Linked DNA regions of Oryctolagus cuniculus. The protein of the gene in region 1 interacts with the protein of each later gene in a pairwise test. Links are inferred from orthologs where the notes say so. Each region holds a gene or a part of one and is shown in the gene's direction. Other genes may lie near its edges.

Region 1 (8,417 bases):
AGTTACTGTTTTAAATGATACTGATGATAGTGAGCAGACTTTCTGGTTTATAAGCATTTCAATTAATCTCAGGATATTCTGACTTCACATTTTGTTTTATAAATAGCATGATGTATATGGCCACACAAACCAAGAATGCAAGAAAGTTGTTGTTTACAGATGATGCAGATGAATAAACATTTTTTAACTTCCTCAAGAGGATGGAAACCCTAGTTGGACCTGTTTTCTTTCTTTCTTTCTTTCTTTCTTTCTTTCTTTCTTTCTTTCTTTCTTTCTTTCTTTCTTTCTTTCTTTCTTTCTTTTTCTTTCTTTCTTTCTTTCTTTCTTTCTCTCTCTCTCTCTCTCTCTCTCTTTCTTTCTCTCTTTCTTTCTCTTTCTCTTTCTCTCTCTCTCTCTCTCTCTCTTTCTCTCTTTCTCTCTTTCTCTCTTTCTTTCTTTCTTTCTTTCTTTTTGACAGAGTGGATAGAGAGAGAGACAGAGAGAAAGGTCTTCCTTTTGCCGTTGGTTCATCCTCCAATGGCCGCCACGGCTGGCGCGCTGCGGCCAGCGCACCGCGCTGATCCAAAGCCAGGAGCCAGGTGCTTCTCCTGGTCTCCCATGGGGTGCAGGGCCCAAGCAGTTGGGCCATCCTCCAATGCACTCCCTGGCCACAGCAGAGAGCTGGCCTGGAAGAGGGGCAACTGGGAAAGAATCCGGTGCCCTGACCGGGACTAGAACCCGGTGTGCCGGCGCTGCTAGGTAGAGGATTAGCCTAGTGAGCCTGGACCTGTTTTCAAACGTGCGTTTCTTTTCACGTTTGTTTAGACCTCGGACAGGATCATGTTAAGATGGGTCTCATATCTGAGAAGATTAAGTAATGTGATCTGTCTTTAAAATTTCTGATGGTTTTAAATAATCAAATACTCTCGTACTGCTGTGGGAGGGAGAAGAGAGCCCCCTCTCGTGGCTGTGGCAGGTCATCCACCTAGGAAAGAGTTCACCAGTGACCTAACTGTTGTAAGCCTGTGTGTTTCGAGCAGAGACTCTCCCTCACTTACCTTTCATTGTCTCCCAAGGGACTGGTTTTTCTTTCCTTTTTTTTTTTTAAGATTTGTTTTATATTTATTTGAAAGAGATGGGGAGGGAGAGACAGATTTTTCATCTACTAGGTCGCACCCCAAATGGCTGCAATGGCCAGGGCTGGGCCAGACCAAAGCCAGGAGCTTTGTCCAAGTCTCCCACTTGGGTGCAGAGGCCCAAGCATTTGGGCCATACTCTACTGCTTCCCCAGGCACATTAGCAGGCAGCTGGATCAGAAGTGGAGTAGCAGCAGGGACTCAAACTGGCGCCCATATGGGATGCTGGCATTTCAGATAGCAGCTTAACCTACTATGCCACAATGCAGGCCCCCTGGTTTTAATTTCCATTTTTGCCAGGTGAGGTGCTTGGTTTGGACCTCAGTGCTAGGGCTGTACATGCATTTCTGAATGTTGTTGAACTTCTGGTCACTTATGAGTTTTACTACCACTCAAAGGATTAGGTATATATATGTTGACTGTCTTTAAAAGCCAAGATCTAGCACCTTTCTTGCAGTGACTCTTCCTTTTCACCGCCAGAGAATTAGGCAGGCTGCCTACAGCCTGTCTTGGCTGAGGAGGGGAAGTGCGCCACCCGCCACTCAGCCTCCCTGAACCCAGGGGACAATCAGGCACAGCGGGGAATCCAGTCGAAGCAGGATCTCACTTTATTGTAAAAGGGAGGTGTTTATAAAGCTGCAGTACAGAGCAGATGCGGGCAAGGGGTGAGCTGATGTGACGCAAAAGGGTTTTAGCCACTCCTGTTATACCACCTCAGTGATCCTTAGGCAAAGCGCCCTGGGACTGGGTTGTTTACCCCCAGGGATTTGAAACTTAAAGACAGATCTTCAAACTCGAGGCAGGCTTAGGAAGTTCTAGGCCTCTCCGGATCCAGCCTCTCCCACACTTTCTGGTTACATGGACATATTAGAAATAGCCAGTTAAGGCCGGCGCTGTGGCTCACTAGGCTAATCCTCCGCCTTGCGGCGCTGGCACACCGGGTTCTAGTCCTGGTCGGGGCCCCGGATTCTGTCCCGGTTGCCCCTCTTCCAGGCCAGCTCTCTGCTGTGGCCCGGGAGTGCAGTGGAGGATGGCCCAGGTGCTTGGGCCCTGCACCCCAATGGGAGACCAGGATAAGTACCTGCCTCCTGCCATCGGATCAGCGCGGTGTGCCAGCTGCAGCGCGCCGGCCGCGGAGGCCATTGGAGGGTGAACCAACGGCAAAGGAAGACCTTTCTCTCTGTCTTTCTCTCTCACTGTCCACTCTGCCTGTCAAAAAAAGAAAGGAAAAGAAAAGGAAAAAAGAAAAAGCCAGTTAAGAGTAAGACCCTGACTTTCATCAGTTTCCATGCCTTCCTTTTTTTTTTTTTTCTTTCTTTTCTTTTTTTTTTTTTTTTTTTTTTTTTGACAGGCAGAGTTAGTGAGAGAGAGAGAGAGAGAGAGAAAGGTCTTCCTTCCGTTGGTTCACTCCCCAGATGGCTGCTACGGCAGGAACTGTGCAGTTGGGCCATCCTCCACTGCGGAGGATTAGCCAAGTGAGCCATGGCGCCGGCCCGTCCATGCCTTCTTTAGAAATTAATTGTTCCTGGGCCCGCAGCTCACTAGGCTAATCCTCCACCTGCTGGCTTTGGAGTGCCGGTTCTGTCCTGGTTGCTCCTCTTCCAGTCCAGCTCTCTTCTGTGGCCCGGGGGGGGGGGGGGGGGCAGTGGAAGATGGCCCAAGTGCTTGGGCCCTGCCCCCGCATGGGAGAGCAGGAGAAGCACCTGGCTCCTGGCTTCAGATCGGCATAGCGCACTGGCCACAATGTGCCAGCCTTAGCAGCTACTTGGGGGGCAAGCCAACAGAAAAAGGAAGACCTTTCTTTCTCTCTCTAACTCTGCCTGTAAAAAAAAAAAAATTTAATTGTTCCTGGCTACTCTAGTGAGAGGCAGTTTATCTCTCTTTTTAGCTTTTTTTTCCTGCAGGGGTGGGATGAGAGCTTATCTCTTGGGCTTTGGGGACATAGAACTGTCTGATTTTTTTCATTATCACTAGTTCACTGGAGGAGAATGAAATAGGCTTGCCTTTGAGACCTGTTCCTTTCATAGATGCATGTATGTCATTACAGGTGGGAAAAGCCAAAAGCCGGTGCTTTACACACTGCAGAATGCAGTAGGAAACTCGTAACTTTATAACTGAACCAGCATGTGACTAATGTTTGAACTCCTAACACCCCCAAAACAGAATTTTTGAGTTTTTATTTCAAGAGGAAGAAAAATGGTTCAGACCTGAATTTTTTTTAGGAACTCTTAGAAATGTCTTTTCCACTTATGAGTTTCAATGGGTATTGCTAATACTTGACAAGGATTTTCTTGTGGTATTTCATATTTTACATTTAGTGGTTTATATACGTTCTTGGGTCACTATAGCTGGCTTTAGTGGTTCATATACATTTTGTTAAAGATTTTTTTTTTTTGAGAGCTAGTTACAGATGGAATGACAGAGAGAAAGGTCTTCCATCTGCTGGTTAAATCCCCAAATGGCCACAACAGCAGGAGCTGGGCCGATTGGAAGCCAGGAGCTTCTTAGGTCTCCCACATGGGTACAGGGGCCCAAGTTCTTGGGCCATCTTCCACTGCTTTCCCAGGCCATAGCAGAGAGCTGGATCAGAAGAGGAGCAGCCAGGACATGAACCGGTGCCCATATGGGATGCTAGTGCCACAGGCAGAAGCCTAGCCTGCTAGACCACAGTGCTGGCCCCCATATACATTCTTGAGTCAGTGTAACTTGGGGAGCTTTTGCTGTACTGTATAGAGTTGGTTGATGTGTGGAAATGTCATACTACTCAGATTCAGAAGTCTGAGGTGACAGCCATGAGCCATCATTAGAGCCTATTTGACACAGCTTACGTTGTAAACTTAGGAAAACCATTGCTTGCTGAAATGCTTCTGGTGGTCAAAAAACCCACTTAATTCACACATAAGAAATGTGCTGTCTTGGCTTATGTGGTTTATTTTGTTTCATTACTTTAGGTGCAGCTATCTTCTTTGAATTCAAACACTACAAGCCTAAAAAAAGGTTTACCAGCACCAAATGTTTTGCTTTCATGGAGATGGATGAAATTAAGCCTGGGCCAATTGTAATAGAGCTGTAAGTCTGTACTCATTTAATGGTGACTGCTATGTTGGTTTTCCTAGTCCCTGTATCCTTGGACTCAAAAGTATTTAATCCATCCTCAAAGCATTTTAAACAATGATCTTTCTATTGTGGTTACAGATACAAGAAACCCACTGACTTTAAAAGAAAGAAATTGCAATTATTGACCAAGAAACCACTTTATCTTCATCTACATCAAACTTTGCACAAGGAATGATCCTGACATGAATAACCTGGAACTTCTGTGAATTTTGCCACTTGTTAGAAACCATCACAGCTCTGTGTAGCATATTCACCCTTCAGAAGGCAGAAAGCAAGCTGTACCCGTGCCAGTAGGCCAGAGTGAGTCCACTGCAAAGCTGTACCACAGAATTCAAAGTCTAGCACATCACTGATGTATAAGACTCCTTTGGATACAGGTTTATTGTAGATTTGAAAACATATTTTTACTTTTCTATTGTGCAATTAATAGTCTGTTTTCTAAGTTACCACTACTCCTACCCTGCTTCCTGGAAAAATACTGTTGTGGGTAGGTTTGCTCATCTTCGAACTTAATACAGCAATAAGAATGTGCTAGAGTTTACATACACATCTGTTCACTTTTGCTCCAATATGCTCTTTTGGTTTGAGTTAACTTCAAACTTTGGGTTGAGGTGGGTAGAATAGTATCAAACTACTTTAAGAGAAAATGGACCAGTTATGCTGCCTAAGAAGGTCTGTCTGCAGATGATAGGCTGCTCCTTTGAGGTGGCCTACATTCACCTGATCTGATCGTTTTCTTGCTTAGAAATAGTGTGCCTTGGCCAGATCAGTACCCCGTGTGGGAGTGTTTCCCAGGTTGTAGCTGTGAGTTTTTCCAGATGACCAGATTGTTTTTCTGAAAGTGAGCATACTTTTAATCATGTTGATTAGATATTCTTCTGTATCACGTTGTTATTCTTTCTGATAACAATTCTAGGGTTAACATTGGAACCATCTCAGAATTAAATTTTTAGATGGGTTCACAATGTCTTCCAAATAATGTAATCTAAAAATAGCTGAGTCAGATGCTAACAAGATATTGCAGGAACAACTGCTGTTTTCTGACAACTGATTGTGAAATCTTCAAACCTGCATATCTCTTCTTATAGTGATGAGTATGCAAAATCTGGAAAGATATTCTATTTTTTTTAATATAGATAGATAGGATTGCCATTTATTTCCTATTTAGATATATTGGAATTCATCCATATGAGAATATGCAGGTCATTAGCTTATTATAATTTTACTATTTACATTTCTTTTGACTTAATGGGGCATAAATAAAATTTTCATAGTACACATGAGGTGGATATTTGATACACAGAACATTAAAATTTGTGATGGGCTCTCTGTGGGTTAGATATAGAACCCATGTATTTTAATATTCACTATTTTAATGAACAATGCATGAGGGGAATGCAATTTCAGTACTTGGCCTATTTTTAAACTAGTGTAATAACCCTAGTCATGCCGATATGTTTGCTTTTTGAAGTAAGTAATCACAATTAAGTTGTTTTAGCCCTTGCACTTCAAGAGATCTAGTCTTTACTTTCAGTTGTCTGTTAGGTCAATTCTGTTTATTAGTTGGATATTAATAAAGACTATATGAGCCTGAAAGAATTCTCAACCAAGTTTAGTCTTGTCTCTCATCTTGATTGGATTAATTCCAGATTCTCAAGTAACTCAATCCACAGTAGGGCTAGAGGATGAAGAATTTGCCTTAAGGAATTCTTTTTGTCAAATCCCCAAACTGTAAGCTCTTCAAGGAGCAAGAACAGTATTTCCTCCATGTCACACACATTTCCCTAGGTGCTTGGCAGCACTCTGTACCCTGTGGAGTACTCAGTACCTGTTTGATGTTGCTGATGAGACCTAAAATAATCCCTTAAAAATCCTACTATTAAAATGTAGCAAAACTGATACATTGTTCTTTCTCTTTTCTCATGATCATAAGATGTGTATCAAAGTGGTAATTTATATATAAAGAAGCATCTGCTGTCCTGCACTTAAGTATGGTTTATATGAACTACAAATGCCTTTCATCAGTTATTAAAGAAGCTTAAATTGAACACCGTGTGATTAGTTTAGCTTTAATTCAGACCTGAATGAAATGACAAAAAGAGTGATTATCTTGGAGCAGTTGACACAGAGTGTTCCACATCCCACAAATTATTTGTATGCTTTCCAGTGAGGAAGAATAATCAGCCATTAACTGTAACCACACTACAATAGAAATCTTTTACATTGAAATACTGCTGCTTCATAAATGAGACACTTTTAGCAACTAAACCCAGAAACACAATTAGCTAGAAATGACTTCTGAAACAGTTGTAATAATTTTGGAGATGGCAAAGTCTGACTTAACTGAGGACTGGTATTCCCTAAGCCACTTGTACATTAGCAGCTCACTCTGCTCTGACCCTTGCGGCAGAGATACGGTGCCATCAGATGGATGTGAAAGGCAGCAACTGTGGACTGACTCAGAACTGCTCAGGTAGGCTACACTGGAATCTCTTCACAGCTTACTGATTTTTTTAAACAAAATGAGATGGAAAAAACCTTTATTTTCAATGAAAAAACATTTTATTTACCTTTCCAACTTGATTATCTTCCTGGCTGGCAAAATCTATACTTAAAGGCCATTTAAAACTAGAAATTCTATTATCAGCATTATTGTGTGTCCTTAAAGAGATTAAGAGAGATCCAGAAGTTCTGTTTTTGACTTAATCTTCATTTATCGGGGGTAGGGGACCTTTCTTCTGCCAAGGGCCACCTGGGTATTTCTAATATAATTCACAGGCCATGCAAATTTATCAACTTAAAAATTAGCCTGTTATAGATTTACTGAATTTCAAGTCCCACTTGACCAAATGATTTTGTGGGCCTTATACAGTATGCGGGCTGGATGTTCCCCAACTCTGGTTTACATGGTTAAAATGACCTCTGCTATTTCTGTGGAGTTTTCCTCTTAGATTTAATTTCTTCTATTGTTGATATTAAATAGGATGTTTAATAGTTTTCCTGAAGAACTCAGGTATTTCTTATGAACTTTCTTTTAAAGATTTATTTATTTAAAAGGTAGAGATCTTTCATCTGCTGGTTCACTTCCCAAATGGCTGCAATGATTGAAGCTGGGCCCATCCAAAGCCAGGAGCCAAGACCTTCCTCTGGGTCTCCCATGTGGGTGTAGGGGCCCGAGCACTTGGGCCATCTCCATTGCTTTCCTAGGCACATTAGCAGGGAGCTGGATAAGAAGTGAAGCAGCTGGAATTGGAACCAGCACCTAATGTGGGATGCCAGTGTTCTAGACAGCAGCTTCACCCACTATGCCATAGTGCTGGCCCCTTCTTTATGAACTTTGAAAGTGTTACCTTCTTTCAAAGGTTCTCATCTTTTAGACTACTGTTTTCCATAGTTTAGGATAAAGAGATGATTTTTTTTCACAGTGAAAGTTTTGTTCCATTGTACAGAGTATTCTTAGTGGGTTAAATATCACAACAGTAACAAGTCAGGCTCCAGGTTTCAATTACGTGATAGAACTTCTGAGAGTGGCAGAACATAGTCTACCAGTAGACAAAAGTCTCAGCCTTTGGTAATTTTAATCTAAATTTTAAACCTATTAAAATGTGCCATTAAAAGTTAAAATCAAGGGGCCAGCATTGTGGCACAACAGGTTAAGCCATTACGTGTGATGCCTGCATCCCATTTGGGCACCAGTTTGAGTCCGGCTGCTCCTCTTCCAATCCAGCTCCCTGGTAATGTGCCTGGGAAAGCAACAGAGGATGGCCCAATTCCTTGGGCCCCTCCCTACACCCATGTGGGAGACCCAGATGAAGTGCCTAGCTCCTGGCTTTGCCCTGGCCCAGCCTGGCCCCCTCCATTTCGGCCATGTAGGCAGTGAACCAGTAATAAGGATCTCTGTCTCTGTCACTCTTTCAAATAAACAAAATCTTTAAAAAAAAGTCATTAAAATCTCTGAAGAGTTTGTTCTTAGAAACATTGTTTTAAAGGCACAATGTAATAATGGGCATAACACTTTTAAGTATGGTGCAATTCTAGATTCTTAGATTGATTGGTTTTTAAATTAAAGTACTAATGGTCAAATATTAACTTTGGAATAGTATGTATCAAAAAAGACGAGTTCAGCCACCAGCTGCTGACCTAGAGCATTCTATAAGCTGTTCAGTTCTAAATCATTCTTTCTCA
Region 2 (9,156 bases), on another chromosome or scaffold:
ATTAGCATGCTGAAGCCCTAACTCCCAGGGCGCCTGTATTTGGACCTGCAACTTGGAGGTCACGTAGGTTAAATGAAGGCATAAGGGTGGGACCCTAATCTAATAGAATTAATGTTCTGACAGGAGTATTAGAGACACCAGGACTGGCGCTGTGGTGCAGTAGGTTAAGCCTCCACCTGCAGCACCGGCATCCCATACGGGTGCAGGTTGGTGTCCCGGCTGCTCCTCTTCCAATCCAGCCCCCTGCTATGGCCTGGGAAAGCAGTAGAAGATGGCCGAAGTCCCACCCATGTGGGAAACCCAAAAGAAGCTCCTGGCTCCTGAGTTCGGATCGGCTCAGTTCTGGCTGTTGCAGCCATTTGGGAAGCAAACCAACAGATAGAAGACCTCTCTCTCTCTCTCTGTCCCTCTCTCTGTCAGTAACTCTGCTTCTCCAATAAATACATAAGTCTTAAGAGAGGAGGCTACAGCATTTGTTTGCATTCCCTCCCTGTCTCTCTCTTTCCCTGTGTCCCTGCCCCCCTCAGCACACACAAGAAGAGGTCAGGTGAGCACAGCATGAACGTATATGCCTGGAAGACAGCCTCACCAGCAACGAGGCAGGCTCGCCATTTGATTTTGGACTTTTTTTTTTTTTATTTGACAGATAGAGTTAGACAGCAAGAGAGACAGAGAGAAAGGTCTTCCTTCCATTGGTTCACCCCCCAGATGGCCGCCACGGCCAAACTGCACCAATCCGAAGCCAGGAGCCAGGTGCTTCTTCCTGGTCTCCCATGCGGGTGCAGGGCCCAAGGACTTGGGCCATACTCTACTGCACTCCCGGGCCACAGCAGAGAGCTGGACTGAAAGAGGAGCAGCCGGGACTAGAACTTGGCTCCCATACTGGGTGCCGGCGCCGCAGGCAGAGGATTAGCCAAGTGAGCCACGGCACCAGTCCCAGATTTTGGTCTTCTATACTCCAGAACTGTGCGAAGCCAATTACTGTTGGTTAAGCCACCCAGTCTGTAGTATTTGGTTATGGCAGCTCTAACAGACTAACACCCTGAGTAGGGCTGTGTGTGTGTAGGGGGGCCAGAGAGAGGGGGAGGGAGAATCATTCACACTCACTGGACAGCTCAGAACCGAAGTAGCAAGCATCGGTTCCTGATGCTGGGCGTTACCTGCCTGAAGGCAGGGAAGTAGCTCAGAGGACTGACATAAGCGTGTGCCAGGTTCAGTTCTTTGAGTCTGTCACTGCCGTCTACAGGTGTTCTTCATCCAGACCTTCAGTTAAACAGGAAAGAGAGCGTACTGTAACCCCACCATCTCGCACACCGTTGATGGTGTCATGGCCCAGCACACAGAGGGGGCTGCAGCTCCCCAGCACCTGCGCCCTCAGACACCTGTTGCCAGAGCACAGCCTCAGGCTCGCTCCAGACCCGCCCACCCAGAACACATATTTTCGCAAGGTTTCCGAGCGACCCACGGGCACATCCATGACGGGGAAGCAAGGCCCGAGGGAGTCCTCCAAGAGACTGGAGCGGAGACTCCGTGTGTTATCTGAATCGCCTTTAAAAAGTGCGATTTCTGATCCGAGCCGATCATCCAAAATATAAGTAAGATTCTGTTATTGTGTAAAAATTCCAGACCTCATCTCTTCAGTAGATAATCCTCATGGATACTTCTTAGGCACAGGGGAATGACGAACTGGAACAAGCATTGGAGACCTTTAGTCCATCCTGCGTTCACACGAAGACGGAGTCCAGTGTGCATCATTCCCCATGGCTCTGAGTGAGCACTTCCGGGGCAGACGGCTCACCGCATCTCCAGGCCTGGGGCAGAGTGCTCACCGCATCTCCAGGCCCGGGGCAGAGTGCTCACCGCATCTCCAGGGCTGGCAACATCTTCATCACCCAACACTCGCAGTGCCCCCCAGGATCACAGGCCTGTCACCTGGCCCACGGCAACTTCTGCACCAATCTTCCCGCTCCTCTTTGAATCAAAACTACCTTCCTGGAATCACAGACTAACATGTGCGAAGCACAGGCGTGCTAACTCAGTGTCCTCCATGCAGGGTAACTATCGTCCATTTCCTCTAGTAGAAATAAAATGGCTTGCCCGGATCCCACCACGTGTGTAATCCTGCCGTCCTAAGGACAGCACCCTGCTGGAGTCTCCCTCCTCGCCTGGGAAGATTCCATTCACTCTGCCTCCTCTGACCCCTTTCAGTTCTTTCCTCCTTCTAACTTCCAGAAAACCAGAGAAGCTGGCGTTGTTTGTCTAAACTCCTAGTTAGGCGCCGAGTTTCACTTAGAACAAACGTAGCTGCTCTTGGCACCTGGGCAGTACTGTTTTCATCTTCCGCCTGCCACCTGAAGTTCACGGACAGACGACTGTCTAAAACCAAGTCCTTCCTGTCTGCCCGACATGTTGATTAGAACTCCTCTAGACACGAGAGTGCTTTAATAAGTTCATAAGCAAACATGGCGCCCCCACCAGACTCAGACTAGATACCGGCAAGGATACAGAGGTGGAGATGACAAAACCATAGCTCCAGTGTGTACCTTGTCCGGGAGAAAAGACGTAAAAACCTTTGTCTTGGTGAAGGCACCCCGGTGTTTAGACAGAGACACCCCCCTGCCCCGGGAATTAGGTATCTGCTTAGCTTGGGATCCCACAGACAGGCGGACAGAAAGATACTGGACCCAGTCACACCTAATGCAATCTATCATCTGTATCAGAGGCCAGAAGTGGGGCACCACAGCCAAGTTTCTCCAACCCTTTGCCCTCTGAGACGGCGAGCTGCTGGGAGGTGGAGCCCAGGTCTTTTTTATTTTTAATATATATATTTTTTATTTGAAAGAGTTACACAGAGAGAGGAGGGGCAGAGAGAGTCTTCCATCCGATGGCTCACTTCCCAATTGGCTACAAGGGCCGGAGGTCTTCTTTCCAGTAGGCACCATGTTGACATTCAGCGCGTAGAGATGCAACCAAGCCCTGCGTGTAACCAGCCTCAGGTGGCTCACCTGCTCAAGCCAACCGAGGCACCGCCTCTCTCCGCCTCCCGCGCTCCCGCCCCCAGCCTCGTCGCTCCGCCCGCGCTCCAAGATGCCCCGCCCCTCCGCTACGTGGTCGCGGGCGCGAGGCGCACGCCGATGACGCCAACAGCATGCGTCCGGGCGGCTGCCGACTGCCCGGCGTGAGAGTTGTGCACTTCTAGTTTCTTCCGGAGCCGGCACCGGGCAGCCACGGTCTCCAGGTCTGGAGGCGCGGACGTCACAGGCTGTGCAACATGTCGATGCTGGCGGAGCGTGAGTGTAGAACGCAGAGGCCCGACCTGGGCGCGAGGGTGAAGGTGCTGGGTGACCCGCAGGACGCCCGGAGGGGCGGGCACGTGGGTGGCCGGCTAGCAGCGAGGCAGGGGTATCAGAGGCTGGGCTCTGGCGATCCGATCTCTGGCTCGCCCCGAAAGTCGACCCGCCGGTCTGCTTTCTCTTTGACTGCGAGGTCCCCTCGAGACCTGTCCGCACACTCAGAGCTGGGGCGCGTGCGGCGGGTTCCAGAGGAAGTCAGGACCCCGGGTCCCGGAACTGGCCCTGCCTCCTTCGGTCGTGGGGACACTGGTTGAGGCTTCACTTCCCCGGAGCTCAGCTTCTTCAGCATAAAAAACGGAGGTTGGGTTAGAGGGCTCGCTCCAGGCAGTGAAATCCTGTTGTTAAAGACGTGTTGGACCCAGAAAAAGAAGCTAAAGGGTTAGAACCACTGGCACAGGAAATTAGTATTTGGGGGCGACAGGGAGGCAGGCAGGTGGCGGCGGCGGTGCAGGCTTAAGGCAGTGATTCTAAGACTGTGGCAGTTTTGGTTTGGTTAGAATTGTTCCATAACTAGCGGTTTAGCTTCAGCATCCCATACTGCCTCAGTGTGCGTTTGACGTTTAAACTCCGCTTTCTGGAGAGAAGTCCTTTAACTCCCTTCTGCACGATAGCTGAAAGTAAGGTTGCTCACCGCCAGATGGCAGTCTTGCTTCGGCCGCAGAAAGCTGGCGCTTAACTTTCTAAAGCGGTGTAGCGAGCCCTGTTAGCAGGCCAACAGCAGCCGTACGGGGGGTTTTGTGAGATAAGTGTTCTCAGTAGCCTATTAGGTAAGGAACCACCTAAGGACCAGGAGCACCAGATGAATGAAATCAGGCTCCGTCCGAAATTGAGATTCAGAAGAAAGTGATTTGCCTCAAGTCATTGAGTTGAAAAGTGGCAAAGCTGATGCAGTTGTGTCTATATTTTTACATTCTAGCCACTAAGACCAGCGATTTTCTCTTTTGAAACGGGAACTCATAGGAAGGAATGTGTTTTAGATGGTGACCCTGTGGGCTGTTATTTCTTCATGTCCTTGGTGAACCTTTGCTGGGGGCTTCATTTAGCCTGCGTTTGCAAACATTGGCTCTGGCTCTGCTGTTCATTTATGTGTGTTTCCTTGATGGTTTCTCTGATCACTTTCTCCCTGGATTGGCTGAAAAACTAATGAAGTGGTTACATGAACACAGTATCCGGTGTGACGTGCTATTTGTAGATGTTAGTAAGTCAGATTGCACGCTCTTGAAGAGGGTTTTTCGGTTCTCTTCTCCAACTGTTATTCCAAGTTTTCCAAATTTTTGTCGTGATGATGTATAATCTTCTGAGTTGTCTTTTTTCATAATTTTCTGAATTTATTTTACAGCATCCCCTGCGATAAGATGTTTAGGATTGGTGTTTCTATTTTATCTGTTATGCAGGGGAGAGACTGGAGAGCTCGCATCTGCTGGTACTCTTCAGATGCTGGGGCCAGGCCAGGCCCGAGGCAGGAGCTGGAAACCCAGTTCAGGGGTCCCGCATGAGTGGCAGGGGCTCAACCCGAGCCATCGCCTGCTCCTTCCCAGGTGTATGTGCATCAGTAGGAAGTTGGAATCAGGAGTGGAGCATTGTCCCAAATGACAGCGTTACTGCTGCACCGAACACCCAGCCCTGGTGTTCTCATTTTAGAGGAAATAGAAACATTGCAGACGCGCGAGTTCACTGCCCAGCAGTTAATTCTTCTCTGATACCTTATAAAACGTGTCATTCTGTAATTCAAGTTTGTATTCTATTTTTTTCAGCTACTTAGCATTAGACAATGAACATTTTCCCCTCATTAAACATGCTATGTCCTTTGCATGTCTCCCACATGGGGGAAGGGGCCCAAGGACTTGGGGCACCCTCCACTGCTCTCCCAGGCCATAGCAGAGAGCTAGATCAGAAGAGGAGCACCTGAGACTGGAATTGGCACCCATATGCGATGCTGGCGCTTCAGGCCAGGGCGTTAACCTGCCCTGTGCCACAGTGCCAGCCCCTAGCCTGTGTTTCTTTAATTACCAGATGCTGTTTTGTTGTCTCTCCCATGCGTAAGACAGGAAATAAACAAACTTCCCCCTGTGTTAGGCAAGAATTTCATTTCTCACCTTCAAATTGTGTATGTAATTTGCTGTTTTCGATCCAGATGGTGTGTTGATAGTTCTTTTTTCATATACGCTCCTTTTTAAGACCAATTCCTGACACTTGCAATCAATACGTTTCTAATCAGACCACAACACTAATGAGTTTTGTTGCTCTTTGCCTTAAAATTTTATGTTGCAGTTTCCTCAGTCTTGAATGTGTTTTGAATAATTTTTCAACAAGAACACATCTGTGATATATATTTTGAGTTCTTGAATATCTGAAAATGTCTGGAAAAATAAGAAGACGCCTGTCCCTGGCTCTTGAGATGCAGAGCAGCCTTGAGAACGAGCTTGGTCTTTGCATAAGCCATGCAGTACCAGGCACGGAGTGACTGAAAAGTGATGTCCCTTGCAACTGCTGAATGGAGGCTTAGGTACTGGGGCCACCCTAAATGCATCCCAGTTAGGACTCCGAGTAGGAGGGATTCCTGCCAGAGCACAGTTAAAAACATCATCCCAAATCTGTGATTCAGGACCCTCCCCGGGGCCAGTGCTGTCTCTACACTGCTGTTCCAGGTTGTGTGGGAGTCTGCAAGGCCACCCCCACATTCACTGACTTGCTGGTCACATGGCTAAGATTCATAGCTGAAGGGTAACAGAGCAACATCGGTGCAAGCCCAAGACAGGTGGGCACAGCCCACTGGAGACCAGGCACAAGCTTCCAGAGTCCTCTCGGAGTGGAGTCACACACCATGTACTTGATGCCCGCAGGAGCAGTCTGTGACAGTACATGAGGAATTTTGTCAACCAGGGATGCTCACTCGACTCTCCATGTTCAGAGTTTTTTCCAGGGAGTGGTTCACGGAGGCAGTGTTGGCCTGGAATGTACCCAAATTCTAGACTTCCAGAAGAACAGGTGGTCAACATAAACTGAATTGCTCATAAAAACAGGCCACTCGCATCCATTCTGTGAATGGGGAACACTTCTGAAATCAAGTTCCCAGGAAAGGGCCAGCATTGTAAGCAAGGCTCTCAAAGGGTAGAAGTCAGGACTGCTGTGTTAGCTCTGTCCCATAGCTGAGCACAGAGCAGACCCTGGCACTGGAATAACGAGGCACAGGTAAAAGGCAGTCCAGTTGGAAGGGACCAGGGATTGTCTTCTTGCTAAGAATTGTTTTCCTGGAAATGTAGGTGACACCAAAGCCAGGACACATCCCTGGGAAATGTGGTTCCCGTCAGAAATCAGGGCATGGCTGCCTCACCCTCCTCTGGGAGGGTCTGCATCTGCATATTTGCATGCTCTATTGCTTCTTTTTTTTTTTTTTCTTTTCTTTAAGATTTATTTATTTGAAAGACAGAATTACAGGGAGAGGTAGAGACAGAGGTAGGTCTTCCATTTGCTGGTTCACTCCCCAAATGGCCACAATGACAGGAGCTGAGCTGATTTGATGAAACCAGGAGCCAGGAGCTTCTTCTGGGTCTCCCATGAGGGTCCGGGGGCTCAATGACTTGGGCCATCCTCTACCGCTTTCCCAGGCACATTAACAGGGAGCGGGATCGGAAGTGGGGCAGCTGGGACTTGAACCGGCTGCCCATGTGGGATGCCTGCGCTGCAGGCCAGGGCTTTAACCTGCTGCGCCACAGCGCTGGCCTGGCCCTACAGCTTCTTACTTTAACGCAAAGCTCCTCCTCCTTTGGTCGCCAGTGTCTCACGGAAGTGCTGTGGACTGTTAGGAACAACAGTAGAGGATGGGCTTGGTCATTCTCAACCCTCTGCCTTAGACAAGCCTCAGAGTGCCCGGACAAGCACTGTATGGAGACTTGAACACTGGCACACCCATAGCCAGCTACCACGTAGGACCCTGGTCATCGGCTAGGCAGAGCTCCGCAGACGTGCAGCGGCAGGGCCCGTGTTGCGCCGCCTATTTGCCCACATGAAGCGGTAGCTTACCCGGAGGAGCATTTCTGGGAGACCTTTCCCTAGACAACGCCATAAATTTGAGTCCAGCTTGTTGCTTTTAAGTGGCTTTTTCTGCCTAACGCTGGTAAAGCGTGTCTTATTCTTGCTAGGACGTGGGTAGTTAGGGGCCTCTGATTTTACCTGTAGCACAGTGAGTCCCTTTGCCCAGAGGACATGCTGTTTTTTAATTATGAGACTGCCCAGGAGCAGGCTGTCCAGAGTGAGGTGGCGTGCTTACACTGAGGCAGGAGGCGAGTGAGGATGATGCTCCGCCTCCACGTTCTCACTTGGCCGTGCTTGGCTTTGAGGGCTCATATTCTTTTGTGAACTTTGAGGGCTCATATTCTTGTTTTGTGAACTTTTTAGATTTTTTCTGTCTGCCATAATTTTCCTTCAGACTGCAGTGATTAACTTGAGACCCTATGGTCTGTTATTTATATACATAGAAAAAAAGTGCTTTAGCTGTGGTGTAGCTTTTCCCCAAGCTGTGACGCTGGCATCCCATAGGGTATCAGTCCAACTCCCTGCTAAGCACCTGAGAAAGCAGTGGAGGACATCACTTTGGCCCAAGTGTTCGGACCCCTGCACCCATGTGGGAGACACAGATGAACCTCCTGGCTCCTGGCTTCAGCCTGGCCCAGCCCTGGCTGCTGTGGCCACCTGGAGAGTGAACCATGGATGGACGATCTCTCTCCGTCTCTCCCTCTCTCTCTAACTCTGCCTTTCAAATAAATAAACAAATCTTAAAAACAAACAAACAAAAAAAACCCAAGGAATCCTAATCCTGAACATCTGTCCAGGATTAATATTTTCAAAAAATACTTTGATGGGGACCGGTGCTGTGGCATAATGGGCTAAGCCTCCACCTGTGGTGCCGGTATCCCATATGGGCACCAGTTCTAGTCTTAGCTGCTCCTCTTCCAATCCAGCTCTCTGCTATGGCTTGGAAAAGCGGCAGAAGATGGCCCAAAGGCCTGAGACCATACACCCACGTGGAAGATCCAGAAGAAACTCCTGGCTCCTGGCTTTGGATTGGCCCAGCTCCAGCTGTTGTGGCCATCTCAGGAGTGAACGAGCAGATGGAAGACATTTCTTTCTGTCTCTTCCTCTTTCTATAGCTTTGCCTCTCAAATAAATAACATATTTTTTTAAAAAAATGAAACTCATACCAGTTTTTTTTTTTTTTAATTTTAAGATTTATTTATAAAGGCCAGAGTGATAGAGAGGGAAAGACAGACAGACAGACAGATCCATCTGCTGGTTTACTACCCAGATGGCTGCAACAGGTGTGAGTCAGGCCAAAGCCAGGAACTCTGTCCTAGTCTCCCACATGGCTGGGAGGGGCCAAGTACTTGGGCCATCATCTGCTGCCGTTGGTTCACCCTCCAATGGCCGCCGCGGCCGGTGCATCGCGCTGATCTGAAGCCAGGAGCCAGGTGCTTCTCCTGGTCTCCCATGCAGGTGCAGGGCCCAAGGACTTGGGCCATCCTCCACTGCACTCCCGGGCCATAGCAGAGAGCTGTCTGAAAGAGGGGCAACCGGGACAGAATCCGGCACCTCGACCAGGACTAGAACCCGGTGTGCCGGCGCCGCAGGTGGAGGATTAGCCTATTGAGCCGTGGCACCAGCCTAGCTTTTTTAATAGAATTATATTCTCTTCTTTCTTTTCTCCCCATTCCTTCCTGTCTTTTTTATTTATTCATACATTTACTTGTGTATTTATTATTGAGCGTCTTTTCAGGCAAAACTTTTTTCCTTTTTATGTCTTGAA

What was found.
Region 2: the proteins of AIDA (region 1) and PINX1 interact in binary tests that used the Homo sapiens proteins (3 or more experiments, as listed by UniProt). The link is inferred for Oryctolagus cuniculus from reciprocal best matches to the Homo sapiens genes AIDA and PINX1.

What each region holds. Positions count from the first base shown.
Region 1 is NC_091444.1:37,042,517-37,050,933, reverse strand, and holds the end of AIDA (axin interactor, dorsalization-associated protein), read left to right. Parts: intron 1-4,066; coding exon 4,067-4,184; intron 4,185-4,310; coding exon 4,311-4,407; 3' UTR 4,408-6,131; downstream 6,132-8,417. UniProt on the Homo sapiens protein: Acts as a ventralizing factor during embryogenesis. Inhibits axin-mediated JNK activation by binding axin and disrupting axin homodimerization. This in turn antagonizes a Wnt/beta-catenin-independent dorsalization pathway activated by AXIN/JNK-signaling.
Region 2 is NC_091433.1:43,681,501-43,690,656, forward strand, and holds the start of PINX1 (PIN2/TERF1-interacting telomerase inhibitor 1), read left to right. Parts: upstream 1-3,128; 5' UTR 3,129-3,271; coding exon 3,272-3,290; exon of another isoform or gene 3,291-3,334; intron 3,335-3,381; exon of another isoform or gene 3,382-5,859; intron 5,860-9,156. UniProt on the Homo sapiens protein: Microtubule-binding protein essential for faithful chromosome segregation. Mediates TRF1 and TERT accumulation in nucleolus and enhances TRF1 binding to telomeres. Inhibits telomerase activity. May inhibit cell proliferation and act as tumor suppressor.